2 linked regions of the Lytechinus pictus genome follow. The protein of the gene in region 1 binds, or shares a complex with, the protein of each later gene. Links are inferred from orthologs where the notes say so. Each region holds a gene or a part of one and is shown in the gene's direction. Other genes may lie near its edges.

Region 1 (16,295 bases):
GAATTTAATTGATGCTAATATTTATCGTGGAATATCTTACTGTGTAGTGTTATAATTATATCATGGACCTTGGAAGCGGGGGTGCTTCAGCTGATAATTTTTATAATTTTGACCTAGGACCGGGACATTCTAAGGATTATTTTGTCATCATGTCTGAGAAATGTTTTGTATAATTATGTACATATAGAAAACTTGATATTTTAAGCTTCATATCAGCCTAGTGAGCAAGACAATAATCATAGAACAGACGATGCGAGCACGAAGCGTGAGCGAAAATATTATAGTTGCATGAAAAATGTCTTCCCCTCATCAGTGGCGTACCTAGGATTTTCCACAGGGGGGGGGGGGCAAATCCGTCCGCCAAAAAATTTGACAAGCAAAAAGGAAAAAAAAAAAAAAAAGGTCTTCAATCACAAATAAAGGATTTCGTACCAGAAAAAAATTGACAAGCAAAAAAAAAAGGTCTTCAAGCTCGTCAGGGGGGGCAATAAAGGTCTTCAAGCTCGTCAGGGGGGCAAAGGTCTTTCAAGCTCGTCAGGGGGGGGGGGCAGGGATACGTCCTTTGCATATGGGTTGTGGCTCGTCAGGGGGGGGGGCAGACTGCCCCCTCCCGTAGGTACGCTAGTGCCCCTCATCTTATTTTATTCACTCGTCTTCCTCCTCTTATTTTACCTTTTCATTCCTCCTGTTTTCCTTTCTTTTTTTTTCCTTTTCTTTGCCTCTTCTAGATTTTTTTCTTGAAAAAAAAATCATCAAATGGTTAATACTACTGTAAATGTTTAGATTCATGTTTAAATGCACTCAAAGAGCCTCATTGGCCTAATTCTGCATTCTAAAAACGCTAAATTTCTTGCACGGTCGATGTGCTCCCATGCATGCTCAATCATGATATCTATTCTTAGTTTTCTTACAAGAATTTGGCCGTGAAAAAAAAAGTTGATTAAAAAGAAATTGTTTAGGGGGTAGTCCCCACTAAAGTCTAAAGTACATCTGAGTTTTTTTTTACAAACAAGATCAGATATCTAATAAGGCAGGCGTGTATCCAGGATTTTGCACCCGGGGGCCCGACCTGATTTAGGTGCCCCTGTTAACTTTTCGAGAAAAAAAATGGCGCCCCCGTGAACATGAATCATGAACAGGATTGGCTCTAAATAAACATTTTACGCTGAAAAGGTTTGATATTCCGACACAAAACTGGACATTTCAGATACTTTTTTCAACCATGAACAGGATGTGTATGTAAGCGCGAGCTAAAAAAGATGTTTATATTCTGACCTGGACATTTCTATAAAACTTATGGTAATCATGAGCAGGCCGGGTATCTAACTTTATGCAAGCGCGTAGCGCGAGCTGAAAGTTTTTGATATTCCGACTCAATAATTCATGAAAAGAATGCATAATCTATTGATGAGAGCGCGTTCGCGAGCTGAAAATTGTTTGATATTCCGAATCAAAATTTGTGATTCTAAGCGCTTTGTGACCCTCAACATGATGGGTATCTATATTGATGCGAGCGCGAATGCGATCGCGAAGCGCGAGCTGAAAAATATTGACAGTCAGGCCTAAAATTTTGATATAGCACTTTCAGTAATCATGAAAAGGATAGGCATCTATCTAAGCAATTGATGCAAGCGCGAAGTGCGAAATGAACATTTTTTATATTCTGACCTAAAATTTTGGCATTATAAGCAATTTTGATAATCATGAAGTAACAGGATGGGTATCTAACAAAAAAATGTATACGAGCGCAAAGCGCAAGCTGAAAAAATTGACATTTTGACCTAAATTTTTGATATTTGATCTAAGCACTTTCAGTAATCATGAACAAGATGGGTATCTAACTAAACGTTTTATGCAAGCTGAAAATTTTGATATTCCGACTCAAAACTTATGATTCCAGGCACTTTTTGTGACCGTAAACAAAATGGGTATCTATCTAAATAACTGATGCGAGCGCGAAGCACGTGGTGAAATATTTTTATATTCTGACCTAAAATTTTGACATTCTAAGCACTTTTTGCAATCATCATGAACAGGATGGGTATCTTACTTAACTTTTTATGCGAGTGCGAGATGAATACAATTGATATACTGACCTGAAAAGGGAACACTTAAATCAATTAATGTTTGCTGTAATTCATGAAAAATCTTCTTGATATTTTTTGTAAGCATGACCAAAATGCAATGAAAAATCGAATAAATAGCAAAATAATTTGTGCCTATTAAAATGGGATAGTATACAAAGCTCCATGTTATCCTCGTGAGCACATTATTACCTCCCTGTACAGGAAATGCAAACTTATTTATCACCGACGATGAAATGTTTAATCTTATATAATTACTCTCAATAATTTTGATAGTTCTTATTTGATTTATTTTGTTAATTCGCAAGTAGGCCTATTTGTTTTTTCCCCTGCATTTTTCTATATTCTTTGAAATTTGTATGCAATAAACCGAATAGAATTTGAATTTGGAAAATGGGGGTTTTTAGAAGGAGAAATGAGGAAATGCGAGCTAGCGCAGAGAGTGAGCTTGGGAAGTGGCGCGCATTTTCAGATTCAAATCTATGTCTTTCAATATTTTTGTGTTTCCAGTCTTTTCACTACTATTCGGACTATTCGTTATATTTCTTTTAACACTACATTATGAAGGGTAATAAACAAACTCCCGAAGAGAAGTATGGGTGTTGAGTCACCGCCAAGATGTTTATTAAACTTGGGTTCTAAACTTCGGTTTATATAATGGACAGATTTGACCTAAACTTCCTTCTTTTGGGTGCGATTTTTTTGTTGTCTCATGCACTAAATCGTATTTGGTGCTAGTTCAAATTTTCTGTACTATTTTCCATTTGTAAAAACTGTGGTGGCCCTGAAGGCAGTGGCGTTCCTGGCAATTTCATCAGGGGGAGACGACAAGGATGAGCAAGGTGGGGGGGGGGGGGTAATAGGCATGGACGTATATAGGCACAATTTTTTAAAGGGGCTGATAATCAAATATCAACTTCACAGTTTTTAATTTTCGAGCGAGCGAACATTTTTTTCAATTATTATTTAGCCTTTTTACATGATGTGAAACGTGCAGAAATTAAACATTCGGTCATAAAATTACCAATACACGAGGATATTTGGGCACCTCGCAGTCCTCGTTGCCCTGCATTTTGCAGCCCACCCCCTTACACGTTTGGACGTTTTGGACCCAGGGGGTAAAACAGTCGGGATGTTGCTACTACTGATATTTGCTATTGGGCGATTGCACTGTAATGTCGAAATTAATTCTTTTTTGTATATCATTCCAGAAATGATATGTATTGGATCGTGATCCAGAAATGAAATGTATTGGATCGTGATCGATATATTTCTAATTAAGTGGTAATTGCAATTTTTATATTAAAATACTTCTTTATTCCTCTTTGAAGGTGTTTACATTATGTTCCCAATTCTCTTCATTTGGAGACGTTATAAAAGAGGTATTTGACATTGAAATTAAGTTAAAAAATAATAATATAAAAATAATAATTGCGAGCGCGAAGCACGAGCTGAATTTTTTCTGAAAAATTTAGACCTAAAACGATGAATAGGTAATTACGCGAGCGCGAAGCGCGAGATAATAAATTTGATATTCCTAACTGGACACTAGACGTTCTAAACAGTTTTACGGGATGGGATTCTAAACAGTCGTGCGGGCGCAAAGCGCGAGCTAAAACTTTTGATATTCTACGCACTTTTAGTAACCATGAAAAAATTGGTTTCTAACTGAATAATTCATTGATGCGAGCGCGAAGAGCGAGCTGAAAATTCGAGATATTCCTCCCTGAAAAGAGGACATTCTAAGCACTTTTTTTTTAAACTATGAACAAAATGGTAGTTAAAAACAATTAATATGTGTGAGCGCGAAGCGCGAGCTAATTTTTTCTATATTTCGACCTGAAAACTTTACATTCTGAGCACTTCATTTAACTATGAACAGGATGAAATTTTATGCGAGTGCGAAGCTTGAGCTGAAATTTTTGATATTCCGACCTAAGAACTTGATATTCTAAGCAATTTTTGTAACCGTGAACAAATTGGTTTCTAATGATATATTTTTGGTTTTTTATATTCCTATCTGAAAACCGGACATTCTAAGCACTTCATTAACTATGAACAGGATGGATATATCTAAACAGTATATGTGAGCACGAAGCGCGAGCTGAAATTTTTGATATTCCGGCCTAAGAACTGGATATTATAAGCACTTTTTTTAACCGTGAACATTTGGTTTCTGACTAATCAATTGACGCGAGCACGAAGTGCGAGCTGAAAATTTTTGTATTTTCAATCTGAAAGCTAGACATTTATCATAGGTATCCAACAAAAAAATTGATGCGAGCGCTACGCGCGAAGTTTTTATTGTTATAATTATATTACCTAAAAGTTGTACTCTAACTTTTTCCTGTCCCTGGTCAGCCCAGTCCGTCCTCACTATCGGTACAGAGAGCTCTAAAAGTCGCATTGCGTAAAAATCACAATTTACCGATAAAAGTGTACAGTTTAATTGACATTTACCTACAAAGATGGTGGAACTAAAAAAAGTCTGCACTCTGCAGTCCAGTTTTTGTTTTCCCCCTTTCTCTTAAACTCTTTCTTCTTTTCCCCTTTCCCCCTTTTTTCTCTCTTTCCTCTTCTTTTTTCTTTTCCTTTTTTCGCTTCCTTTTTTTTTTGCTTGTGGGGGGGGGGGGGGGGCATTCTGCCCCCCTGCCCCCCCTTAGGTACGCTAGTGCCTGAAGGGACATCACAAATAGACCAAATCGCGAATAATCACGACGAAATTGGCTACGAAATTCACGACGTCGCCAATTTGAATATTGACGACGAAATTCACGACGTCGCCAATTTCGTCGTGAATTTGTTTTGCTTGCCTGATGGGCGGTATGCGGGTTGAAACCAATTCGTCTGCTGCTAATTCCTCCACTCACAACAGGGTCTACCTTCATTTAGTCTAATGCAATTCTGTCCATCAACTTTTCGCCTAACAACCATATGGTCCAATAACCATTTGGTCCAGTCATCACTTCGTCTAATCACCACTTCGTCTATAACCATATTTCGTCTCATAACTAGCTGGTCTAATATCAATTTTATTTTCCTTAATTTTGCCCAATTAACATTTAGTCCAATTAGACCAAATGGCATATGGACTAAATGGCAATTGGTCCAACTGGTTATTAGACGAAATGGCAGTTAGACCATGTGGATAGTGGACGAACTGATGGTAGACCAAATGATAGCAGACGAGTTGGCATTAGACCAATTGAAAACGACAGAACGATGTCCACTGCTATCCATATGCATAGGCGGATCCAGGGGGGCCGAGGGGCACAGCCCCCCCCCCCCCCTATTGGCGGAGCAAAAAACAGGGAAAAAGGATGAAATAAATAAAAAAAAAGGAGGGAAAAGAGAGGAGAAAAAAGTAGAGGAGGAAGACGAGTGAATAAAATAAGATGAGGGGAAGACATGGAAATAAAAAGAATCTTTCATGTCACTATATAAAATTTTCGCTCGCGCTTCGCGCTCGTATTGCCTGTTCGGGGATTTTCATATCTTGTTCAATACGGAGTTTAAATATCAAGTTTGGAAGTCAATATACAAAACGTATTTCATCTCGAGAATCAAACTTTCATCTTTTTGCGTGATTTACATATTGATTTTTAAAAAGTGCTCTGTAAATATGACAGTTTTATGGTCTGAATATTAATATTTTCTGCTAGCGCTGCGCGCTCGCAAATTTCGATTCATCAGGTACCTATTATTTTCGTGTATTCCATAAAGTTTTCAAAATATCCCTTTTCAGGTCTGATTGTCAAAACGTATCAGCTAGCGCTGCACGCTCGCATTTTGAATGTATGTCTCAATATTGATTATACATGTACATTCCCCTTTTCATGACAATTAAGGCTCGCAATTTGCGCTCGCATTAATGGTTAGAAATATATTGACTGATGCATCCTATTTATAGTTACAAAAGTGCTTCAAATGTCCAGTTTTCAGGCCATAATATCATCAGACTTCGCGCCCTCATTAGGCATTAATGAATAAAATATTAATTTAATAATTGAATTGTCCCTTTTGTTTCATCTCGCGCTTAGCAAGAGTAATAGGAAGACAGTCATCATTTTCATATGATGACATGTCCTACACTGTTAAAAAAAAGCCCTGATTTTACAGAAAAAACAGAAGATTTTGCAAAAGCAATAACAGAATCATTCCGTAAATTCATAAAACAGGATTTTTTCTGCAATTTAATAGAACAGGTCTGTTTAAAAAGGGGAAAAGGCTGTTTTATTTAAGGAAATTTGTAAAGTTCCATACACCAAATACCAATTTCCTGTAAGATTACGCAATCTGGTAAGATTACAGGTGTTCTCGAGACTCTGCTGCAGGAACTTCTTTTATTCAAATTTTCTAGCAGTGTAAGGATGTGCCGGTCCTATGTCAAAACTCAAAGTAATTATAATGAAAAATATCAACTCTTTATTAAGTGCGATCCATATCCTTTTTCCTCAATAATTACTTTCCCTTTTTATCTTGAATATTGTAGTAATTATTGCAAATGTTAAATTATTATTCATATATTGTACGCGCTATGGTACTTTTTGTTTTTAGCGCCTCTAAATATCCATTATTATTATTATTATCCACCTCACAATTTAATTCCGCCCCCCCCCCCCTATTGGCGAAGGCTGGATCAGCCCCTGGAACAAGATATGAAAATCACCTAACAGGCAATGCGAGCGTGAAGCGCAAGCGAAAATTTTATATAGTGGCATGAAAGATTCTTTTTATTTCCACGTCTTCCCCTCATCTTATTTTATTCACTCGTCTTCCTCCTCTTCTTTTTTATCTCCTCTCTTTTCCCTCCTCTTTTTTTAATTCTTTCTTCCCTTTTCCCCTTTTTTTTGCTCCGCCAGTAGGGGGAGGGGCCTGGGCCCCTGGGCCCCCCTGGATCCGCCTATGCATATGGATAGCAGTGGACATCGTTCTGTCGTTTCAATGGTTTATTTTCAATTGATCTAATGCCAACTCGATCGTCTGCTATCATTAGGTCTACCATCAATTCGTCCACTATCCACATAGTCTAACTGCCATTTCGCCTAATAACCAGTTGGACCAATTGCCATTTAGTCCATATGCCATTTGGTCTAATTGGACTAAGAGTTAATTGGGCGAAATTAAGGAAAATAAAATTGATATTAGACCAGCTAGTTATCATGAGACGAAATATGGTTATAGACGAAGTGGTGATTAGACGAAGTGATGACATGGACCAAATGGTTATTGGACCATATGGTTGTTAGGCGAAAAGTTGATGGACAAAATTGCATTAGACTAAATGAAGGTAGACCCTGTTGTGAGTGGAGGAATTAGCAGCAGACGAATTGGTTTCAACCCGCATACCGCCCAGGCAAGCAAAACAAATTCACGACGAAATTGGCGACGTCGTGAGTTTATCATTTTTTCCCGACAGTCTGCATGCAGTCCAGTGTTTGTTTTCCCTTTCTCTGAAACTCTTTCTTCTTTTGCCCCTTCCCCCTTGTTTCTCTCTTTCCTTTTTTCTCTTTTCTTTCCCTTTTTTCGCTTTATTTTTTATTTTTTGCCTGTGACTCGTCAGGGGGGGGGGCAGTTTGCCCCCTGCCCCCCCTTAGGTACGCTAGTAGGCCCTTTTTAACATTTCAAGAGCTTTTTTTGTTTCTCTCTTTTGAATTCGATTTTTGGGGTTATTTCACTCACAAACCCACCTCACCCCCCTCCCTACGCACACACACATATAATTTTCGGTAACCATAATTTTATAATCATGAATGTAATTTTATTTGTAGAATGCATTGGTAAGCACTTTCTGCAATATACCCTGTTATTATCAGTAGCGTATAGCAACATCCCACGTTGGAGGGGACATGGACAATTTACTGCCCCTGAGGGATTTTCATTTAGAATTTTTCAAATTCACCAGTTAAAGGGAAATTAGACTCGGAGAAAATGAAAAGTATGCCTACTCAGGGCAGACTAATGAAAAAGGACTCTGAAAGGGTGAAAGGAAAAAAAGTAGGGCTAATAAAAGAGAGGGAGAGAGAGAGGGAGAGAGCCGCGGGGGGGGGGGGGGGGTAGGAGGAAAAAAGAGGGGGGAGGCGGCAGGAAACCGGAAGAATGGGGGAATGAAGGAAAGTGAAGGAACATTGGAAAGAAAAGGTACTGAAAGAAAATGAGAAAATAGGCCCTTAAAACATGATATGCTATAGGCGGGATCGAGAGCGGGAGAGAGAGGGGAACACGTGAAATGATAAAAAAAATGAATGGCAATTAAAGGATGAATAAAGCCCACTATGCGATTCGTTGCGATCCGAATTTCAAAGAAATTGCAATAACAGTCTTGATATGAACATTCCAACCAATATAATCTTAACAATCAGAATTCAGAATTGTGATAGGAAATCGGAATTCAGTCAAGTTCGATCGAGCCTCCCCGTAGGTATAAAGCAAAATCAATTTCAAATCGCAATGACGTCATCATCGCCTCCGACTTGGAGCCGAAGTTGGACAAAACTCCGAACACAGGGCTTGCCGCATAGCAAAATTATGATTTTATAATTCCTAACATTATGACGAATTTCAAGTAAAATAATTTTGCTTCTTGGAAATGTCACATTTAATGCAAAATTCAATTTATTGAAAAAAAATCGCGTCGCATCGGATCGCATAGTGGTTCCATAATTCTATATGACATTTGCCCCGGCTCCGCTGTAAATTTCAAACACTATGGATGACAAACTTCAACCCTATATAGCTGGAATATTGCAACCCTAGCCTTATCACCGCAATGGACAGGGGATGAGGGGCAAAAAACAAAAAAAAACTAACATAAAATTAAGGGAGGATGAAATAGAGAAAACGTTATCATCATGTTCAAGTCTTTAGGACTTCGAAATACCCCAACCAAGATCTTGAGCAGCCGAAAACAGTGGACTAATCTGCCCCGCCCCCCTTAATTGGAGCGATGATATCTGCTAATTGGTTCCCATTGGTCCATGTTTTCTTCAAAATTTGACCCCAGACCTCGTCATAAACATAAACATACATGTATTTAGTGTATCAACATCTCATCAATAATATACGAATGAATATCTGTCTAATTTTAATTAGGCAATGGGCAATCAGTGGCATTAGAATCTCAGTGACTGTAACGGAACTTGAAACAAAACTCAAAAGCGCCATCTCGTTCGTTTCTAACTTTTTTTTCGCTGGTTCCCTATTTTACATTCTTTTATGTGGTGTTTCCTATCCTCACCCGTTGGCGTAGCGAAGTGTGGCGTATGCTAGTGCAAAATAATGGCGACTGCCTGTTTCATCGGATGATCATAGGCATAGCTGAGCCTGAACTTGTGCAAAAAAAGGGAAAGGGGAAAATACTGGCTCTGGGAGAGCTGAGATTGCTAGGCTTGATGATATCAGACGGATATGTGATAACATGTGGTGATTATCATAATTTATATGTTGACTTTCAAAGCAAGGAGGACAAGAAGAAGCTGTGCAGTGTAGTTTGAGTTTTGTGTTTGTCTCGGGATCAGACGCCGGATTCAATGAGAATGGCGCAGTGCTCGCAAAGTGCCAGGGAGTTTATTCAGAACACTTTTGGACCAACTGTGGCAGTTGCATGCAGTCATGATGCAGAAGTTCTTGCACAAAAGAACAATTTATCTTTTGTGGAAATGGTCAGGCCATTTTGCAGACTAACTTCAGAAGGTATTCCTCCTGTTCATGATGAATTAGATCTAGGCCTAAATTGAAAAAAACAAAAAAGTGAAATGAATTATGAATATGATTAACATTGTGAAAATCACCCTGTCCCTGACAAAAATTTGTATAAATGAAATATCGGTGAAGGTTTTAGGAAAATCCAAAGTTAGAATTATGATAATCAGTAGAGGCGCACGGCCAATATGGGAGACTCTCTCTCCAATAGGGGAGACAATCTCCCACATTCACATTGGAGACTTGCTTTGCAAAAGGACAAAAGAAACAACACCAACAAAAGCATGATTTTTTCCACCCAAAATTTTGTTTCACTGAGGTCAGAAGCCCATTTGTTTTGTGTGTGATTGACAACAAAAATCCTTATCAAAACAAAAGTAGACGGTGAATTTTTAAAGTAGACGGTGAAAAGGGGTAATTTTCACGAGGAATCTGCTTATCACATTTTTATTTGCCGCCAAGGTAATCCTTTTGCAGCAAATGCAAACAAAGAAATAGGTCTCCAAAACTGGAGACTGTCTCTGAAATTGGATACCCAAATTCTTTACAAAAGTCTCTGATATTGGAGATAATCTCCCACATTGGAGACAGTCTCCAATATTGGCCGTGCGCCTCTACTGATAATTGATATTTTGATTTGTCATTTTGTGACATCATGACAGAGTCCAACTGCTTAAGTTCTGTTCAGTAGAGGCGCTGGTCAGAAAATTGGGATCGTCCCAGTTTTCAGGGACTGTCTCACTCTTCTCTTGTCTTAGTTTTCAGAGATTTCTCCACACAAGAAATCTAGGAAAATTTCATTCACCTGTCAAGTGCTGACATCAATTGAGTGCGCTAGTCAATGTAAACTCATTAGGTTTCATAACAAGATTATTGGAACTTGGAAGATGGCAAGTCGTGAAAAATAGACAGTGATCTAGGGGTTATTGAGGTCACTGAATCTATTTTTAGCACTCTCAATCCCCGTAATTGCCATCTGTGTCCCACAGGGGTAAGTGAAAAAAAAAACTGTCCCCATAATAAACAAGGACAATCTCAATTTATCAAGACATGATTTGTCTTGGTTTTTGAGGATATCCTTTTTTTTTTCCGGGACAATCTCTTGTTTCCTTCCTCCGTTAATGTCGGAGATCGCTGATAACAGTAAAAAAAAATGACTGAAGACGCTTCCTATGGGTTGCTAGAGTTAGGTTGCTGAGAAGGTTTTGGTGAGTTGTGTGAAGATTGCGAATGAAGTATAAAATAAGAGTGTGGAGCTAGGTTTTACTGGCACTGCTGATGCGTACAGGGGGAAGAAAGAGGATGATACATTCTAGAAAGGACTGGGGGTCTGCCTCAAATAAACCTGCAAATTGTGCGGTATTGTCGTTGTCCTTAATGCGATTGATGAGGTCACGGGGCACAGGTGCAGTGGCCGGACAGGATGAGACAGTGTTCAACATCTTCTCTATTTAGGAACATGGTTGACAGATGTCATCAGAACCCTTTCTAATTCTGACAAGTCTGGCCTAAACTTTGCATGAGATCTAGGCTCTGATGGTGATAGCTGGTCTCAGGGTGGGATTAGCTATATGTCCAGGATACAAGTCAGTAGCCTTAGGCTTTGGTCTTCTGGTTCATAATGAGAGTGAACTTTTCTTACAGAGAGAGCCTCACTTTGCCTGGACTCTGATGTTCTAGTCACTGCTAACACCACCATGTGTTACCAAAGGCTTTAGGTTGGAGGTTTTTACCAAAAGCTCATCTAACGGAGGAAGATTAAGCATCCTGAGAACAAGGCACCATTGTTGAACTGAAGGGGTGTTTGGCACAGATGCTATGAAGAAATAGCCTTCATTCTGTTCTATCAGGGGCAACGTTCAGGATCTGTCCTAAAAGCAAGAGCTTCTTTTTCATAACCAGAAGACTTAACTTCACTTAAGGCATTATGTCTGTCAGGATGTACACAGATTCATCAGCTGCAGATACTGGAAACCCCAGTCCCAATTTTTGGACCAGCGCCTCTACTGAAGTTAGGCCTAAAAAGGTTGGACCTAAGTGAGTCTATGCAAACAGCCATAGAAAAAAGTTGTTCCAAACAGTGCGCTATTCTCAACAAGTTGGTGTCGATGTGTTCGTCAAAGACATTTTACTGACCCAACCATTCAGATTCAGACCCTAGATCTAAATTATGATCATGATATAGATATAGTCTAGTAGAGGTCTAGATCTAGATCTAAAAAATTGGTAAAACTAAAACTGAAAATCAATGAAATTTCATTTTCTAAAAAAGATTAAAAATTGTTTTTATTATTCCTTAAATCTATATCAATAGGGAAATTATTTCACACCTGCTGCTGAAAGAAAAAGAAGTCACAAAACATTAAAAACTTAAGAAAATTGACAATTTAGTGTAGATCTAGATATAAGAACTAAGATGCATATTTATATTATAACATTGGGGCAGTTGCTCGCTTATGACATCACATATCAAAAACTCAAAATTCTAATATTACTTTTCTTGATCTTTGATGGATTTTCCTCGAACCTTCACTGATATTTTTTTTCAGGGTGAACTTCCTTTCACAAATTTTGATTAGCATGTAGGAGCCTAACCTGGCCTGAGGTTGAGCTGGAGCCTGGCGCTGTCCTTCAAGGGGATTAATGCACTTGGCTAGTGTGCTTTTGGACTGGTGCCCAAAGGAATACACAAAGGGAACCACAAATTCCCTGCAACCGGCCCAACTTGGCACCAGCCAGGCAGCCTCCATGGCCTCGGCTTATACACCAATGAGCAGGTTGTGGAATATTGCTTCATTCGGACAGTCATGCGAAAGCACACTCGTCTCTTGCCAAGCAGAGGGGGGGGGGGGGGTTACATTTTTATGGAGATTGTGGGTAAAAATTAACAAATATTCCCAGCAATCAAATTGTCAAGAATCCTACCTAGAATAGATTAGATGTTGAGGTATAGAATTATACAGTGTGGTTTGGTATAAAACCTTTAGAAAACTCCAACCTGCCATGAATTGCTCGTGGTTTAAGGTGTAGGGGTCAGATCTCTAAGCTGCACTGTTGTAATGGCATGGGTTCAAATCCCACCTTTGATTCCCAATACTAATAGTAATTTTTCAGTTGTAAAATTGATAAAAGTTCAAATTAGACCAAGCTGAAAGTAGTGCATTGTGACAATAAATATTCACTTGGTCTGGCAGTTATAATGGTTATTGGGTATAGTAACAAATTTAGCCAGAATGTGTCGTTGGATTTTTTTTTTTCTAGATTCTTAGACATGGGCACCCCCATCTTGTCTTTAGTTGGACATGGGCAGGCTGATGATATACGTGGTCCATTTAAGAAAAGAATATTCTTAATCTAGACAAGTTTTAAGTTAAGCCATGGGTCTCTTAACACGTTTTGTTCCTCTTCCCTCGTTTGCCTCAAGCCTGGAGCCCTTTTATGTAAAGACCATTGTAAATCCACAGAAAAACAGTGTTGAATTCAATTTCATACATAATAGTAATAAAAATGGATTTTATCTATCCATACAGTGGATTTTGTGTCTAGAGATGGGGCAAAGCTGCATTATCATGAAAACATAATTCCCTTACTGCTTCTCATTCACAGCTCACATTAGAGACCCAGCTGGTCAGCCTCACTCTATTCATAACCTAAGATTGATTGTGAATGACATGAACACACAGCCTCCATCAGCTGGTATTCATCGCAAACTCTGTTATGATGCTGTGCAGAATTCACAAGTCCCTACTACCGAAGGGAGAGCAAACGTCTTGACAGTAGGTTCCTATGACCTGCAAATTAGTGGTGAGTTTATTCATTCAATTTCAATGTAAAGTCAAGTGTAAAGGTTCTTGATCTTTATGGACTTAAGTTATCTACTGCATGTATAGTAAGCCAGGCTAACACTATGCGATCCGATGCAAAGTTATTTTTCAAGAAATTGCATTTTGCATTAAATGTAAAAGTTCCAAGAAGTAAAATCATTTTATTTACAATTTGGCATGATGTTAGGAATACTGAAATCATACTTTTACTTTGCGGCAACCCCTGTGGTCGGAGTAAAGTCCAAATCGGCTTCAAGTTGCAGCAGATGATGACGTCATTACGATTTGGAATTGAATTTGTTTTTATTTATTCAGGGAGGCTCGAACTGGACTGAATTTTGCTTTCAGTAGTCCTACTACTGTTCTGAACTCTGATCCGTAAGATTTTACTAGTTGGAATGTCCATATCAAATGTTATCACAATTTCTTGGAAATTCGGATTGCAATGAATCGCCTAGTGTGAGCAAGGCTGAAGATGTATTCTCTCTTGAGAGATGGTAAATCAGTGAAGACAGAAATCATATCATTTCTTTTTTTAAAGTCCATTTTCCTAGCAACCAAATGGTACTTTGGTAATATTTCAAGACCCATGCATCTCTGAACATTATTGTTTTTAAAATATTGTGCCAAAATGAACTTGGTTCACTTGCATGCTTGGAACAGTGGGCCCAATGATCTGTTCCATGTGATTCACTTTCATTTCTATTTATTTCATTGTATGTTAGACTTGTTTTTTTATATGTGGATGTCTTTTGTATATTCTAAATATTATGAATGTTTGTTTATTTTGAAATGAAAGGACCAATAAAGCAAAACATAATACCCCCCCCCCAAAAAAAATTACAGTGGACCCAATGAACAATAAAAAGATAAAAGGATTGATTGTCACATTAAAAATCTTACAATTTTTTCATGTCTCTTCATCTGTTTGTTAAAACACATTTTGTCTCAAACATATTGAGTGAATTCAATTATAATGCTTTTTTTTTAAATATAATTTTGACGTAGCAAATGCATAATTCCCTTCTTTGAATGCACATACTCATTTAGTTCCCCTACAATGTACAGTGGAACTGAAAGTGAACCACCTGTTATTTTGCACCACTTTTCATATATACTGTATATATTATGTTTGAATAGATTTAAACAAGTTTGTGTAATGTAATGTAAGAGATATGATTAATTGATTAATACAAACCGAGGTTTATAGAGTACATGTATATCCCTTTCCTCCAAATGTTTCATACCTTTCTTGAATTGTTTTTGTTCGTTTCCACAGCCTCCACTCCATGGTATGAAGCATATAGGGAAAGTGTTTTGCAGAGCATGGCAACTTGTGACCATGAATTCATCAGACATTTTGTGGCTTGTATCCTTTCTCAGTCATGAATGTGAGTGACTTGTTGAGGGGGTTTCTCCGTTACCGCCTGAACAAAATGCTCTTTTGCCTCTTGCTTATTACTTTTAACACGTTGCTTTTTAGAGAGGATATTCTTGGGATTGGTCCGACTGAGTATGACTTGATCAAAGGAAAACAAGCGATACTGAGGATAAAGGGATTAAAAGTGCATTTGAGTGCATTACATGTAGTCAACTATAAATAATACATTTCCTTCAGCATCTCTTGGGGGTGATCTGTTATATGTAAGAAAAAAGAATAAATTAATCATATTATGTTCTTTTTAATCATTTGTAGATGTGAAATGACATTATTTCCTTAATGGAGAAACCACAGGTATGCTTGTAGTATCAACAGGTCATGCAGATCCAATGGATCAGTTTGTCAAGTTATCTCAAGAGCAACATCATCTTCAACACACATCATCAGCTTCACATCCTAAGTGGCTCTGTCCTAATATCTTCAAATACTATGTCCTGCTTCATGATAACTCAGAAGGAGAAGAGGAGAAGTGAGTCTCACGTAGAGTTACTAGAACGAAGAAGAGTGTTTGCTTGTTCTTGTTTATATTCTTTTAATTTTGTTTAGCCTTGTTTAGTTTTGATTTGTTTGATTTTTGGGAGAGATTACTGCTGCAGTAGTAACATAGTTTCTGAATATTGCATGATTTATACTGTATATATAAACTATCATATTTCAACCAATTCCCAGAAAAGAATCCATAGTGCATCTGCACAATTCTCAATGGGTGGGGGGGGGGGGGGTGAGGTTCATCAATTACGAGTTCGATTATAATTTAGGCAGTATGGATTTGCTGTGTTAATGTAAGTGGTACACTGTATATTGAATATCAATTTACACACATGCATTTACATAAGTCAGAACATATTTGAAAATATAATCTTGAAAGATACTTTCTACACTGAAAAAAAAACCCTTATCCTGTTGAAGTGGTTTGATAGATACGTTTATTTCATTGTTCATTTTTCCTGTTTGATTAGAGCTGATGCAATCTATCAGAGCATGAAGTCTACCTACGGCAGTCATGCATGTCATCTTCTAAGGATCAATTCTAGAGCACTGACTACTGTAGATCCATCGGTAACTGCTGAACAGAACTCAATGCCTGATCCGTGGAGTCAGTATCTAAATAAAGTCAACCAACAGGTTAGTCAAAACTGTTCAGGGCCCCGTAACATAAAAGTCACTAATTCTGCTATCCAATGATAATTACATGTGCCATACAGGGCTCAAAAGCCAATCAAAAATCAAACATTTCATGGAAGT
Region 2 (16,575 bases), on another chromosome or scaffold:
ACAAATTATCGCCCGCCATTTTATACGATAGACTTTCATTTGTCGATGATGTCTCTACGAGAACCACACGTAGTTCTGACAAATTGCTCTTGAGATTGCCAAAATGTCGTACGACCTTTTACCAAAAATCTTTTCTGTTTCTAGGCTCTTTCAATTGGAACCAGCTGCCTGACCATACAAGATTTTCAAAATCCGTATATTCTTTCAAATACCAACTTAAACACATATAGACAAATCATATCGTTCATTTTAATCAGTATACAATACACTTATCACCCACTATTCTCTTGTCCGTTCCGTTCCTAAAGTACTCTTAATCTTGATTGCTGCTCTTTTCTTGTCTTTCTATGTTTCCCACTTATTATTTAGACATTAAAGCGTGTCGTGTTTTGTTTGTTTTGTTTTTCTTTCTTTTTATCTCGATGTATATTAGTGATGAAATTTCCAATGATGCGATATGTCTTCTGCTTGTTTTTTTTTTTTTTTAATTCCAAAATTAAATGTATTAGTACTGTGTGATACATTGCCTTATGTTTTAACGATCTGTCATTTTTTTTGTTTTTTAAATATTCATGTATATATATAATCACAGGGCCCTGAGGTAGACCAGCTTTTAATGTTAATATCTTGCGTATTTATAATCTTGCCATCTGTAACTCGTAACATATTTTCGTATTTTACTTTGTATTTGTTCCTTTTTTCTGTATCTCATAATGACCTGTTACTATGTTTTTCGTATATTGTATGTTTTTTAATGCTGATCAGGCCACTCTGTATAAATATTCGAGAATAAATAAATAAATAAATAAATAAACATCAATTCGGCGCCCCTAGGTAGAACAATAATTTAGCATCCCCTAGGCCGAACATCAACTCGCTCCCCTTTCCTCTTCTTCTTTTTTTTTTCTTTTTTCTTTCCCCATTTTTTCTTTTCTTTTTTCCCTCCTTTTCTTTCCTTCTCTTTTCTTCCTCTTTTTGGCGCCTTTTCGCCTACCCGGGGAGACCGGGTCCAGAAAGCCCCCCCCCCCCCCTAAAATACAAATTGGTCACTGATTCAATTTTACTCTTTGGAGATTTTGACGCGGTTTTTTGCGTGTGTAGGTATTTTTAAAAATTTTGCTCCGCCCAAGTGCTGATCATGATATCTTGAAAATAAGCACATGAACCCACAATATCCAATATCCACACCTCTTTAGTATACCTTTCTATACAATCCTGCAAAATTTTAGTGAAACTGGCATGGGTTTTGAATAAAGTGCAGCTTTTTGCTTTTTTTTTGTTATATAAATTTTTATTTCTTTAGATGGATTTTGACTGCATATTATAGGTTAAAACTCCCACGTTGTGATCTCGCGGGGTCTAAAAATGCAAAATTATTTTATTTTATTCATGTAGGTGCAAAGGTATCTTTGTGCAAAATTGGGTGAAAATGACATAGATTTCATTTTAACCATGAAACGTCCTTGAACCACTTTTAAGGCTGAGCGATTCTCCGAGAAGTGTCTCCTCTTGAACCTTAAAAACTTGTGAAAAAAGTTCTTCAGAAATGGACAATCTTTCGTGTAGTGGGAAAATCATGTTGCATATCGCCTTTGATAAGTATTGGACGTAATCCGGGGAGGTTTTATTCAAATTTATCAACATTGAATTTTCAGTGCTTGTAGCTATAGAAAAAATCAAAATGCCATCTCCGTCATTCATTTCATTTCATTTATTTATTTCACCACGGTTAAAAGCCCATTCAGCAATGCTGTTTTTCAAAGGGGCCGTGTTACAATATTCAATACACAAAAATTATCATAGTTTTTTTTTAAGCAAACAAAGTAATTCATTAAAGGACAAGTCCACCCCAGAAAAATGTTTATTTGAATGAATAGAGAAAAATCAAACTAGCATAACACTGAAAATGTCATCAAAATCGGATGTAAAATAAGAAAGTTATGACATTTTGAAGTTTCACTATTTTTCACAAAACAGTGATATGCACAATTCAGTGACATGCAAATGAGACAATCAATGATGTCCTTCACTCACTATTTCTTTTGTTTTTTATTGTTTGAATTATACAATATTTCATTTTTTACAGATTTGACAAGAAGGACAAACTTGGCTAAGCCATAGAGTATTATTAAACAATGCTAATTCCACATGTTGAGGACGAATTAAACGTTGTATCACTTGACATTGAGGAGAAAATTAGAATATTTCATATAATGAAATACAAAAGAAATAGTGAGTGGATGACGTCATCAGTCTCCTCATTTGCATTCCAACCAGGATGTGCATATAACTGTTTTGTGAAATTAAGCGAAACTTTAGAATGCCATAACTTTCTTATTTTACATCCGATTTTGGTCAAATTTTCAGTGTTATGCATGTTAGATTTTTCTCTTTTTATTCAACTCAACTTTTTGTTGGGGTGGACTTGTCCTTTAAAAAAAAATTTACACGGATACAAACAACTAAAGTGGATAAATTAACATTACAGAGTGCAAGTGGGATATAAATTACTGAAATTCAGTTATCATGCACATAGGTATACAACTAAAAATATACAAATCATTATTCCTTGTTTCCGCTTGTTTCCCGCCCTTCCCAAGTGAAATCATTATATAAATCTCAATCAATATGTCTGATTAAAGCTTTAATCAAAGCACATTCGTAATGGTAGCTTCATTTAAATGGAGTCTTAGTCGTGATCTGAAGCTGAAGGTGGACCTTATTCCTTTTAAGTCATTTGTAAGATTATTCCAGGCAATTGCACCTCTATATTTTAATCGCCTTTTCCCATAATTTGTTTTAACTTTGGGGATGCAAAGACTATAATCCGATTTACAGGTTCTATAGTAATATATTTGATAATTAAATCGTCTACTTATATATTCGTGACGTAGATGTTGTGTAATCAAATGTTACCCTGATTAAATTAAGATTAGATCTTTTATATGATGAAAAATTAAAGTATTAGCACCGGATATTATAGGGCATTATGATTAACAAAATTCACATTCATTCTCTATTGTCATTTTGTAAGAAAAAAGCAAGCTCCGTAACCGTCATCTCCGTCACAGCCGTTACGGAGATGATGACGGCTCGGACCGTTGCTGGTCTAATATGCCTATCCTACCACATCCCATCCGCGATAGAGCCATATGTTTTGCTAGCGATTACGATCTTCTCTCTAACTATGCCATCAAAATTAATAACAAGCAGAGGCCTCGAACCTGGGGGGCAGGGGGCGATCGCCCCAGTATTTAATACAATAATTCCGTATGTGCAAAAATAAAATAAGATTGTAATGTTACACAGAAATCAGCAAGCGAGATTGAGATACACAATTCGTTCTTTATTCAAAATCGTGCTCAAAGTGCCCGCTTTTTCACATTGGAATATAAAAATTTTCAGCTCGCGCTTCGCGCTCGCATCATTTCTGTAGCAAAAATCCATACTTTTCATGATTAAATAGGTGAATAGAATGTCCCATTTTCAGTTCTAAACCTCAAAAGAACTCCCGCTTCGATTTGCAATAATCTTTTGTTGGATATATATCCTGTTCTTTATTAAAAACGTCCATTAAATTGTCAATTTTTTTCAGATCGAAATATCAAAATTTTCAGCTCGCGCTTCGCGCTCACATCTATTGTTGTTTTAGATACCCATCTTAATCATTGGTACCCAAAAATGCTTAGAATATCAAGCTTTCAGGTCAGAATATACAGAAATTTCAGCTCGCTCTCGGCAATCGCATTATATGAGTAGAAATATATGTATCCTCCTCATGAGTTACTACAAATAGTCCTAAACAGGCACATTTTCCGGTTTTTCAGGTCAGTACACTAAAAAATTTCAGCTCGCACTCGCATTAATTGTTGGTGAGATATGTGTCTCTGTCTCATGAGTCATATATATATAATGTATAGGCCTTTGTGTGTGGGGGTTGTTTGATTTGTGTGATCGAGCGCCTTTGGAACGTTGATTCATGATTTTGCCCCCCCCCCCCCCCCCAATCTAAAAAATGGATCGACACCCCTGATAACAAGCTATCTAATACGGGAGTTCGGCATTAAAGGAGAATGAAACTCTTGGAGCAAGTTAGCTTTTGTGAAAGCAGAAAAATCAAAGAATAAGATCAACAAAACTTTGAGTAAAATAGGACTAGCAATAAAAGAGTTATGAGCATTTGAATGTCGAGATCACTAATGCTATGGAGATCCTCCCATAGGCAATGCGACCAAGATCTGTGATGTCACACACGTACAACTCTCCCATTTGGACACCGAAAATATACCCCAAAACATCTTTTTTTGCTCATTCTAATCATATGACAAACGATTCATCAATGATATAATGTTGTGAAACCTCTGTACTTGTCATCTCATAAAGAGAACACCTCACCTTGTGATAGAGACTCTATAAAAGTGAGAATATAAGTGAAATAAGTACTAAAGTAATGAGGGAGTTGTACGTGTGTGATATCACAGATCTTGGTCGCATTGCCGTTGGGAGGATCTACATGGCACTAGTGATCTCAATATTCGAATGCTCATAACTTTCTTATTATTCATTCAATCTTCCTCAAACTTTCAACAATATGTTTCTTTGATTTTTCTCTTTGATATGGATTCAGCTGGTTTCAAGGGTTTCATTCTCCTTTAAAGGACGAGTCCACCCCACCATTAGTTGATTTGAATAAAAAGAGAAAATTTCAACAAGCATAACACTGAAAATTTCATCTAAATTGGGTGTAAAATAAGAAAGTTATGACATTTTAAAATTTTGCTTAATTTCACAAAACAATTATATGTACATCCTGGTCAGTATGCAAATGAGGAGACTGATGATGTCATCCACTCACTATTTTTTTGTATTTTATTATATGAAATATGAAATATTCAAATTTTCTCCTCATTGTCAAACAAAGATTAATTCCTCCCTGAACATGTGGAATTAACATTTTATAATACCATATGGTTCAGTCAAGTTGGTCTCTTTTGTCAAATCTGTAAAAAATAAAATATTGTATAATTCAAAGAATAAAAAACAAAAGAAATAGTGAGTGATGGACGTCATCGACTGTCTCATTTGCATGTCACTGAGATGTGCATGTAACATCCGATTTTGATGAAATTTTTAGCGTTTTGCTCGTTGGATTTGTCTCTATTTATTCAAATCATCATTTTTCTGGACTGGACTTGACCTTTAACTGGGCGTTGTGGCATGCGCCTTTAATCCAAGCTATATCATTTACTGTATGTGGGGAAGTTACAAATATTGATGCAGAGGTTCGAGCCCCGGTCACGTCTTTCGGATGGCGACGTTAAAGGTCCCAGACGTAAATAGGCCTAATATCCGATTGATACTGATATACACGTCTGAAAAAACTCAAATGAAGAGTTTGGTTGCAAAAGGGGTTAGACTCCGAGAAAAGCCACGTTTTTATTCTCACTTATCGCAATATTCTTATGAGAAACAAAATTGTAAAGATGTACTACCCTATCGTTAATTGGGTATACCTGCACGTCTTCAAATTTTTCTATATGTTTTTTTTTAAATATCATTGCGGACCTAACCCCTTTTGCAAGCAAACTGAAATGAATCCATAACCTTTTTTATTACAAAATATATGTTTCTTTGCCGCTTTTATTCACGTTTTCATGTGAATTTCAAATTTTCTTTGGTATCATCATAGCGACTAAAAATTTAGAGGTTTTGAGACAGAAAACAATAAGATTTATGAAAAATGGAACTAACCCCTTTTGAGAAATGAGCTCTTCAAAAGAATTTGGTTGCAAAACATGCAAAAGGGAGTCCACTCCAAGGAAATCGTTTTTTTTTATCTTATGCGAAACTAAATTTTCATGATACCCTACCATGAGAATGTAAAATTGGGTGTAACAAGAAATATCTACCTGTCTTCATAGTTTTTAAAATATTCTTTTCCAATGAAAAAATCTGTGTGGATCGACCTAACCCCTTTTGCAACCAAACTGAAATGGACCTAACCCCTTTTGAAAAAAAGTGATTTTTCTTTGCCATTTTAGTTCACTTTTTGATGGGAATTTTCTTTGGTATCATCTTACATGTATATAGCTACTAAAAATCTATATATTGAGACCAAAAAATAAAATTTGATGAAAAATTGACCTAACTTCTTTTGCAAGTGAGCTCTTCAAATACACATGTACGTTGGGAAATGACTCTGAATACAGGTACGACCTGGGTTTGTTACAAAAAAAAATTGAGAGCTTTTCTTGTAGGATGTGGAAAATATTATGGTTTAGGCCTATTTCTTTATCTTCAGCCTGCAACCATCATAGCACTGTGATTTTATGTCGTCACTCGTGCCCTAGATGACGAGGTTTTGCGGGACATGAAATATCCGACAAAATTGTCGTTTTCTTGCAAAATTTCAATCAAATCAAAATTTCATATCAAATTACAACCGGCAGGCAAAAAATGTTCATTCGACCCAACCCATTCTCAATAAATTTTTTAATTTGATATTGCTGATTGACGAAAATGAATGAATATGATTGACAATCTAACACTGATTCTAGGGAGGGTACCTACTGAACTTGCTTTTTCCAAATTGGAAAGATATATCACTACCAACTATTTTTGCTGGCGGAAGAATTAGGGCCATTTTACTCTCTCAAGTGATGAATTTGACCCATAGAGATTATAGAGTAGTTATTAGTGTATATCTCTATGATGACATTCATTCCATTGCTTGTTTTTATGGGCAATACGTCATGATATTGACTATTTATGCCACCCACTGTAAGAAAATTAGGGTGACAATTTATTTAGTATCATTATATTTATATTTTTTAATTTCTTTTATATTCATTCTTACCTTACCTTACCTTACCTTACCGCAAATACTGGAAGAATGCTGAATTAGCAGTCGAGCTTCCAGGTCTATCTTCTAATTTTGTCAGCTTCCTTCATGCTTCAATAAGTTTCAATAAGTTTAAGGAGGCAGTGGGGCAAGTTGGTGAAAATTGACTTCTCATATCCAGTTATTCTTGTTTTTCTATTAAAAAAATAAATACATGTGAAACAAAAAATAACTGAGGTATAAGATATCAACAAACAATAGGGGGATTACTTCCCGAAAACGACAAGTTTGTTGATCGACGATCTATGAGATATTATATAAAATAAAAACATTATAACACGAGGGGATAACTAGTAAATTAAGAGGCTTTTTATAGGAGGAAATTATAATTTGTTAACAAATTTTCGGCATTTGAATATTAATGAATATTAATGAGTCAGAAAGAAGAGGATCGAGGGTATTTGAATTCCAGTTCATCGTGGCTTAGCCGTGAACCAGAATAGCCTGGTGGTTGAGTCGCTGCCCGGAAAGCAGTAGATGGCAGGTTCGAATCCCACTGGTTCCAATTTTTTCTGACTTATGATCATATGATTTTCATACTGATCTTATGATTTTCATTTACAGATCGAGCATACTGATCTTAAACAAATAGGAGTAATGCCGAAAATTTGTTAACAAATTATAATTTCCTCCTATAAAAAAGCCTCTTAATTTACTATCTATTGTCCACGGCGGACGGTATTTGAATATTAATGAGTCAGAAAGAAGAGGATCGAGGGTATTTGAATTCCAGTTCATCGTGGCTTAGCCGTGAACCAGAATAGCCTGGTGGTTGAGTCGCTGCCCGGAAAGCAGTAGATGGCAGGTTCGAATCCCACTGGTTCCAATTTTTTCTGACTTATGATCATATGATTTTCATTACAGATCGAGCATACTGATCTTATGATTTTCATTTACAGATCGAGCATACTGATCTTAAACAAATAGGAGTAATGCCGAAAAAAAATTGTTAACAAACGAGGGGATAACGTTTTAATAAGTTTTTCGGTACTTTGAATTCTCAGCTAGTGTACCAAGCACCAAAAAAATCTGCATTTTTTTGTAAAGATTAGTTATACAATTCCAATATCTCAGTGGCCTAAGATATATTTTCTGGGGTTATATTGACCCGTAAACAGCGAGAGAGATTTATGTGATCAAGAAGTGATAAGATAGAAAAAACTGATTTGAAATGAATGAAAGAGAGACAGGCAAAGAAGAAGAGCCCCCTCCCACACCCGTACCAGAATTACGGGTCCTGTCGGTGGAGTCGAGATCCCGTCAGGTGTAGTCTTCATAAATGCTGATTTATTTTTAAAATGAGCCGGTCGAGGTACCCTTTTCTGGTCAGATATGGAATGTCAGACATTTATCCTATCGAGTGATAGTAAACATTTAACCCTCGAATTTCCTCCTTATTTTTTTAAGAATGCTTTTTAAAGTGCCACTTTAACACACGAGTCTATGGGAAATGAATTAGGCCTGTGATATGATGCCTAAGTATTAAAGGGGAATCCAACCCAAATGAAAACTTGTTTTTAGAGGAAAAAGTAAATTCAGACAAGCTGATAGGTGAAAGTTTGAATAATATTGGACAAACAATAAAAAAGCTATGATTATTTAAAAGCTGTAAATATTGGTATTCACTATACCATGGAGACTTCAAATTGGCCGCATATATGATGTCATAGTGATTTAAGGCAAGGACTACTCTTCCATGTACTGAAATACACGAAATGGCTAAAATGTCATTATTTTCAAAAGTCATACTTCAAATTGTAATTTTCTTTCATGAGGACATAAAACAATATGCTACCTGGGTCATATTTAGATTACTGCCCCAAGGGAAAGGGTACTTAGGAGAAAACCGCAAATCCCTGATAATTAAGTACAATGGCCTATGAGAAAGTTGTCATTGCCCCTTGTCATAATTTTCTTACTCATTTGCCAATTTGAAATCTACATAGTATAGGGATCTCGATTTTAAAACAGCCATAACTTTCTTATTGCTTATCCGATTTCTTTCAAACTTTCACCGTTCTTTTTTATTCATTTTCTTCTTTCCAACACAACATTTTATGACCAAGGCTGGATTCCCCTTTAACGCGAACGTTGTACCGGTAGAGGGCAGCATTCAATTCTATAGCTGGAACGTTAACAATACTTGCTCCCGACGCAGATCCGGAGATTTGGTCCAAATTCTAATTAAATCGGTAATAATTAACGTTAAAAGACTGAAATAACCCCTTTAAACGAGCTGGTAAGTCAAATCAAATATGGTAACAGTTATATCTATCGTACCCCACTCGCATGTAACTTAATATGACTCCCCAAAACTGTACTGAACTGAGTGAAGGACGCCTAACTTAAGTTAACCCTAACGTACCGGTACCGTACCACTCCGCGGCACTTGCCGGTAACCCGGCCCAGGGCCAGGGAGCTCGCTCCCGCCCGCAGCGCAGCTCCTTACCTAGACCAAAAGCTTCGGTCTCTGTTAAGTGTTATGTTGGTTGTTCAGCTGAACTCCGTTGGCTTCACTCACCAAATACAGAGACCGAAGTTCTAGCGCGATCTGTACAGGGGACTCAATGGCCATATGTTTATGTACTTAAGATCGGATAAAACGGGGAAGTGAATTTGCGCGACAGCCGAGGTAAGTCACTGTTTTTGTTCCTTTTAACTTGATTTTTCTCAGTTTTTTGGCAATTGATGCCAAGAGGGAATATTAATTTGCATTTTGGTCGCGTGAATTTTCAAAATTTTTACTCATTAAAGACAAAAATTGAAGAGCCCCGACGGGGGGATTTTGCATTGCAAGTCCCCTAATGGTGGCTGCACGCTAGCGAGCCGTCTGTGTATGAGGAGAAATTAAAAAAAAATAAAATGTTAAAAAACTCCTCGAAACAGACGGCTGCCAGCTGTCTACTCCTTACCTAGACAGGAATAACCGTCGTTTCTGGGGATTTATTCAACAATTTCTGACATTTTACTGTAATCCCCATTTACCGACGGTAGGGTGTACGTGTGGGCTCGCATGTGTTCTCATTCCCTCCCTTTTGTCAATTCACAGTCCAAAGTTTGATGTAATTTTACACATCGAATTTACAATCTAAGGATGTATAAACAACAAACTTTTAGACCTTGATATTCGAATATTTAAATACTTTAAACGATATAGATGAAAAAGGCATGAAAAATATACTTTACCGATGTTTAATTGGGTTGAACACGATAAAAATGGTCAAAATGGCAGCCAAACTATAAAATATTTACAAACGAACGTCAACAATCACGAATGTGATATCGATATTGCTTTCGATATTATACGATCTGCTCCATATGCAAACGAAACCGAAGATAAACGATACTAGTTATACTAGTACTAGTACTAGTTATAATCGCGATATATCGATTCGAGACATTAAGTTAATAACGATAATGACGTCATTCAAGATGGCAACTTGCTAGAAAAACGGTCAGGTCAGGTGAAAATGTCTTAGATGACAGATTTCTCAATCATCCAGAGGATTTTTTTCAATAACTCCGGCCCAAGGTATGCAATTACTTAATTTATTTATATTTCCCTGATAATGGAAACCATGAAACTTTCAATTTTGCTTAAAAAACAGTTTTAAATCGCGATCTATAAAACGCTAGTTCACTATACGTTGGCTGTAGGTACGGGGCCCCATCCCCTTCAGTCTATGTATGGTGAGTGGAGCCAACGTAGTTCAGCGGAACAACCAAATTACAGAGACTGAAGCTTTTGGTCTACTCCTTACCGGGCTGGAGCCCAGGAGTCGTCCGTGTAACTAGGCAGACAAGTACAAGGGTACTCTTCAAAATGGCTTAAAATGGGGTCGCAATAGCACTCAAAATAAAAGGGGAAAAATAAATTATGCAATTACGGTACCTCGATGAAGCCAAGGCAAGGACAAGGTCTACCGAAATGACATTTGACACAGAGTCTGGCTTAGCCTTAGCCTAGGCTTAGCCAGGCGGCTTCTAACAGAGAGTAAAAATCATAATACTAACGTAAGGTTACTCTCATACGAAGCCAGGACTTCTACCTCATAGACCCACACAAAGGAAGCCAAAACCTGAAACTTTCACCCCCAAGATTTCTACTTCTAAAAGATCTAGGTCCTAGCTCTGGTCAGTAGAGGTGCATGGCCAATATTGGGAGACTCCAATAAGGGAGACAATCTCCCACATTGGAGACTTGCTTTGCAAAGAACAAAAGAAACAACACCAACAAAAGCATCATTTTTTCCACCCAAAATTTGTCTCGGAGGTCGGAAGCCCATTTGTGTGTGGATGACAACAAAAGTCCTCATAAAAACAATAGACTAGTAGACAGTGAATTTTTAAAGTAGGGCCTAGATGGTGAAAAGGGGTAATTTTTCATGAGGAATCTGCTTATCACATTTTTATATGCCGCCAAGGTAATCCTTTTGCAGCAAATATAAACAAAGAAAATTGGTCTCCCAAACTGGAGACTGTCTGAAATTGGATACCCAAATTCTTTACAAAAGTCTCTGATATTGGAGATAATCTCTCTCATGGGAGACAGTCTCCCGTATTGGCCGTGTGCCTCTACTGCTGGTGCACGAAGATCATGTCTCCCCTTCTCCTGTACAGCAGGGAGTACAAGTTCAATTTTGTAAGTCTGTCTTTATATGGGACGTTCTTCAGCTCTCTAACCAGCTTGGTTGCCCTTCTTTGGACCCTTTCAATCCTCCTTGCATCTTCTTTGTATCTGTTGTGCCAGAGGACACTCCCATATTCAAGGTGGGGTCTTAGGGTTTTGAAGAGCAGAGGCAGAGTTGTCCTTGTGAGTTGAGTGAAGGTTCTTTTCATTACGGCGAGGAGTTGGTATGCCTTGCTAACTCCTGATGACACATGCTGGTGACCCTAAAAAAAAAGGAAATGTTATTGTTACTTTTTTTAGATCTAGAATAACTGCATCTGTGCGTGGCTGGGGATTGGTGTTAGCCTTGAGGACTCCATGTCTGATATTTTTTAATATTTTGACATATATACTTCTTTAGAGCTCTATGGAGCCTCGAACCACCGGCCATATATTATAACTAGGCTATAATCATGATAATAAGAGACTGCCAAACAAAGATGGATTTCCCTAGGAAATCCATCTTTTAAGATAAAAATCATGTAAATGGTGGTGATTTTATTTATTTTTACACCTTCCTACGGCTACGCCTAATGCGTAGGAAGGTTTAAAAAAACTGGTCAATAAAAATGTTAAAAATTGAAGGTTTCTTACCAGACCGATCTCGTGTAGATCCCTCGATCCGTTTGTCAACAAAAGCAAATACAATAGGTCTGACCCTTGAACCGCCTTGTGATGACGTACATCCGATTAGCGATGTTACAAAATGCCTTTTTGAAGAACAATTTATAGATCAAAATTATTTTACAAATCTAGGCTTTCTTAAACCGACATTGCTTTAACATTAATTTCTTCTAATAATATAGCAAATGCAGCAAGACTACAGTTGATGATCGAGCAAACTTGGATGATAAAATGGCTGGGACTGAGAAAACTGCACAAGACGATGTTTCAAAAACAGGTATGGCTCAGATGCTTGACAGTCAGATTTTGCTTTAATGCAGAATCTTCAAAGATTACAACAGGAGGAGAACCGATTTAAACCTAAAACGGCTGGTGAGGGAGGGGGATAGTAACCCACCCCCTTCAATATTTTCATCCACGCGTAATCTTTTGACTGTACCGCTCACTGTCTCTTACTTCAAAACCATTTTTCAGAAAAGTCAGGCATACATGTACTGATACCATGCTTTGCACCTATTTCTAGACGCCTGTTAGACTGATGATGACTCAATAAAGATCTGGATTCTGTGTACAAAGTCAATAATATTGGATACATGCATGACTATTTTCACTTTCATACTGTCGCATGATTACTCTTCAAAAAGGTTGTGCAAGAAATTTTGCCAAAAAAGTCAAGTAAGGCGAAATGTCGAAATGCAAAAATATACATAGATATTCGAGACTAAATTGCATAAGAAATTGATTTTGAATTTATTCATGTAGATTGATATTTTTTCAAATGCGATTGCTACATGTATATATGTAAGTGAGCTACAAAGAATACTAAGACAAAAAACATAATTCTAGGAGCTCTTTGAATAAGGGCAATATTAGTAATTTTCAATTCATAATTAGTATAAAATATGATTGATATTAAAAATCCTACTAGTTGGCAAAAATGGATAATGCAATGTAGTAGATTACATAGCACTTGATGAGTGTCGTGGTGCTCAGCAGCTGTGACCCCATCCCAGAAGTCATGTACAGTACTAGTCTATTCTGAGAAAGTTGTTACTTAACAGAGCAAAATTGTATTTTAATGTACTTGAACAAAGTAGAAATAATCATGTGTGTGAAGTAAATTTAGAACATGAAAAAGTTCAGCATGGGGCTTAGATGATCAAATCAAACATCATGTTGGAAGTTGAAGTTGAGAAAAATGAAATATTGTTCTGATATTTAATAGTCAAAAACCTTAATCAAAGAAATGTACATGTTGAGCAGTCTGATAAAGGTCTTTGTCAAGGTGCTTTGTTGAATATGGAATTTGAAATACTATCTACTGCTTTTTGTGTTAATAGTGTATTTCATAATTTCCTTTTTATGATTAAATCTAAGTTTTAATAGTCATACATATTTTTTTTTTATTTGTTGTCAGATCCCAAGCCTTTTGATGCAAGCCTTTTCTTTCAAAGTGAAGCAAACAAGCCCTCCTCACCAAGTTTTCCTGTAGAGAGTCCCTTCATGGAGCATCCTACTTGTACACCTCAAATCAATATGGAACAATCTAATGATAAAACAAGAGGAAATGAAGAGGAAGGAATGGGTCAGAACAAACCTGCTCTGCAGGAACCAGTTGTAAAGGACACGCAGCCATCAGTAGCAAGCTTCTTTGCTAAAGACCAGGGCTTGACTCAGAGCTCTGGAAGCTTCTTTGATTCATTTGCCAGTGCGCACGGAGATGAGAACGACTTGTTTTCAACACCACCCTCATCCATTGGAGCGACACCGGTGTCACCAGAAGGTGGGGAGTTTATGAAGGATCCTCTAGGCTTATCGGATGTAGTCCCAACGAATATGGTAGATATAGCTGGAAATAACAGCGAGACGGTGAGCATTGACTCCACAAATCTGCTCACTGAAGAAGATGCTAAGATGGGGAGTGGGAGTAATATGGACACAATGAGCATGGATTCAACAAACCTTTTGTCAGAGGAGGACAAAGATGATCAAAGCATTGATCAGGGGAATGAGAGCTTTGAAGCAAAGAATGACCTGATGGCGGATGGAGAAATAGAATCTGTGAAGGGAAGACTTGAGACGACAATCTCCCTTGAGAGTCCTGAGACCGAGGCAATGGTGATGGAAGAAGGTATACACAGTGCTGCAGCCATGTCAGACCAAGGTGTCAAGGATGTTCCTGCTGCTGGAGGAAAACCTCCAGAGACTGTTCCTGATCAGGTCTTAATTGATGCTGGCACAAGCTTTGGTGCCGAAGATAATAATACCATTCCTGATACGCAGTTGGGATCTCCTTATGAATCCAGCACTACACCACCACTATCACACACTTCCCAAGAAGATACTGTCACTGACTCAACAGATTCGCTGGGGGTTCCTCCACCCCTTGTATCATCCTTCAGTGCTCCATCTGGTCTTGTCAATCCCAACCATGTCAGGCCACACGTGCCGTTTCAGTCCACCACATCCCAAGAAGATGATGATCCATTTGTGGAAGCACTCCGAACCAGTGAGAGTGATCGTCGGCACGATGCATGGATACCATCAGAAGCCACTCAAAGGATCTTGGAGAATCGTAGTATCGCTCAGCAAGGATCAGAATACGTGATCAGGGATCAGCTTACTATGCCTGGTATAATTGTTGAAGAGCCACAGGTAAGAACTGGAGCATTTCATGAAAAGTTTTGTCGGTGATACTCACTGACCAATGTTCTCAGCCAATAAGATGTGAAGATTGTAGCAATTGCAAATATCTACTTTAATAACATAATCCATGAAATGCTCCCCCTTATTACTCATCAAGAACTCAGTGGAATGTATTTTCATATTCAAAATTCAATCGGATTCATACTAAATAAAATTCCCCACAAAATTATAGGGATTACTAGGTTTCATCTGCCGTACTCAACATTTACGATAAAAATAACCCTAAAGGTCTACAAAAAGTGTCTGTTATATTCGTCACTTTGATATTCATGGGCCATTCCACTTTCACGATCTGAAACCCCGATCCATCCCAATCAGGAGAGCGGGATATGAATCTGTTGAAATCAGGAGCAGCGTAATAACGTGAAGACAGGGTACAAGCGGTCATGTTATTCAGATTGGCGTGTTCCGCTAAAAATTTGAACATGTTCACACTTTCATGCCGGTCTTCCCGATCAGAAAACGCCCATTTTGAATGGTGGGGGAAGCGGAAAAAGCATTTAAGCAACACGGTGCGCAGTCATGAGATGAGAATAATCAAGTCTTTCCTGGCGTACTAACAGTAACAGCGGCATGCAGACTCGTTCTTTTGGAAAAGTTGTTTTACTCCAAATTATTTTTCACTAACTCCCGGTAAAGTGGTTCATTTTCCTTCTGATCCTACCCGATCTGAAGGTTTTTTTCGTAGGCATACTGCCCAACTTTGGCAAAAGGAAGCAAGTGACACATCAGTCAAATTAGATTTATTGGTGCTTCTGAAACACCCTTTGTATGTTGCATGTTCAGGCAAAATTTGGGGGGAAATTGATTGTTATATGGAAAGATATTGAAGAAAATATGCTGTTAAATTGCATTGATGCCTATGCAAATGACGAACTCACATTTACAACAAATGATATGTAACTTGCTTCCTTTGCCAAAGTACGGCAGCATAGTGGAACAGGGGCTTTATTTTTTTCAAACTTATCACTGCTGGATTTGAATATATTCGGTAGGATTCTTTAAAAAAAAAAAACTTGCACTGTGTAGAAGATTGGTTGAGGTCAACTTACATATAGGATTAGTTTCTCTCTGTTAAGACGCACTGTCTTTTCTGGACAATTGATTATTAATTTCAAGTCATTTTATCTTTAATTCCTTTAAAAGGCAACAGTTTTATATTGTGTTAATCCTGATTTTCAACTTTGTGTATCTGAAATAAATAGTAATTGATGAAGAATATTCAAATAAAAGTTTGCAATTTTTTTATGGGAAGACATACATTACATGTACAGCATTGCCAATTCAAAACTTTGTTGATTATTGTTATTTCAACATGTTTTTAAAATGTTGAACATAAATAATACTGATAATGTGAAGAGTAACTAGTAACAACTTGTGTAGTGTCCTTTTCTCTAATTAATTCTAGGGCTCTGAATCAATTTAGAAAAAAACTATTAGGAGAAGTCCTCGGGGGGGAGGGGCACTAACATATTAGTCTACAACTGTAGACCCACATCTGCAGTGTGTGTATCACAGCTGATTCAAGGAGTCTGCATAGCAGACTAGGTCTACTGGAGGCTCTGAAATGGCTCGCTTCGCTCGCCCTTTCAGGCTGGTTTGCTTCGCAAACCAGCTGCAGATCCCACTTCACGAGCCATTCAGAGTCTGCATAGCAGACTACTAACATATGGTG

What was found.
Region 2: trafficking protein particle complex subunit 8-like (region 1) and trafficking protein particle complex subunit 12-like share a complex: the UniProt entries of both Homo sapiens proteins name them as parts of the multisubunit TRAPP (transport protein particle) complex. The link is inferred for Lytechinus pictus from reciprocal best matches to the Homo sapiens genes TRAPPC8 and TRAPPC12.

What each region holds. Positions count from the first base shown.
Region 1 is NC_087246.1:37,672,306-37,688,600, reverse strand, and holds the start of trafficking protein particle complex subunit 8-like, read left to right. Parts: upstream 1-9,326; 5' UTR 9,327-9,613; coding exon 9,614-9,776; intron 9,777-13,391; coding exon 13,392-13,589; intron 13,590-14,888; coding exon 14,889-14,978; intron 14,979-15,344; coding exon 15,345-15,519; intron 15,520-16,009; coding exon 16,010-16,175; intron 16,176-16,295. UniProt on the Homo sapiens protein: Plays a role in endoplasmic reticulum to Golgi apparatus trafficking at a very early stage. Maintains together with TBC1D14 the cycling pool of ATG9 required for initiation of autophagy. Involved in collagen secretion.
Region 2 is NC_087261.1:4,621,240-4,637,814, reverse strand, and holds the start of trafficking protein particle complex subunit 12-like, read left to right. Parts: upstream 1-8,982; 5' UTR 8,983-9,140; intron 9,141-12,376; 5' UTR 12,377-12,425; coding exon 12,426-12,471; intron 12,472-13,611; coding exon 13,612-14,849; intron 14,850-16,575. UniProt on the Homo sapiens protein: Component of the TRAPP complex, which is involved in endoplasmic reticulum to Golgi apparatus trafficking at a very early stage.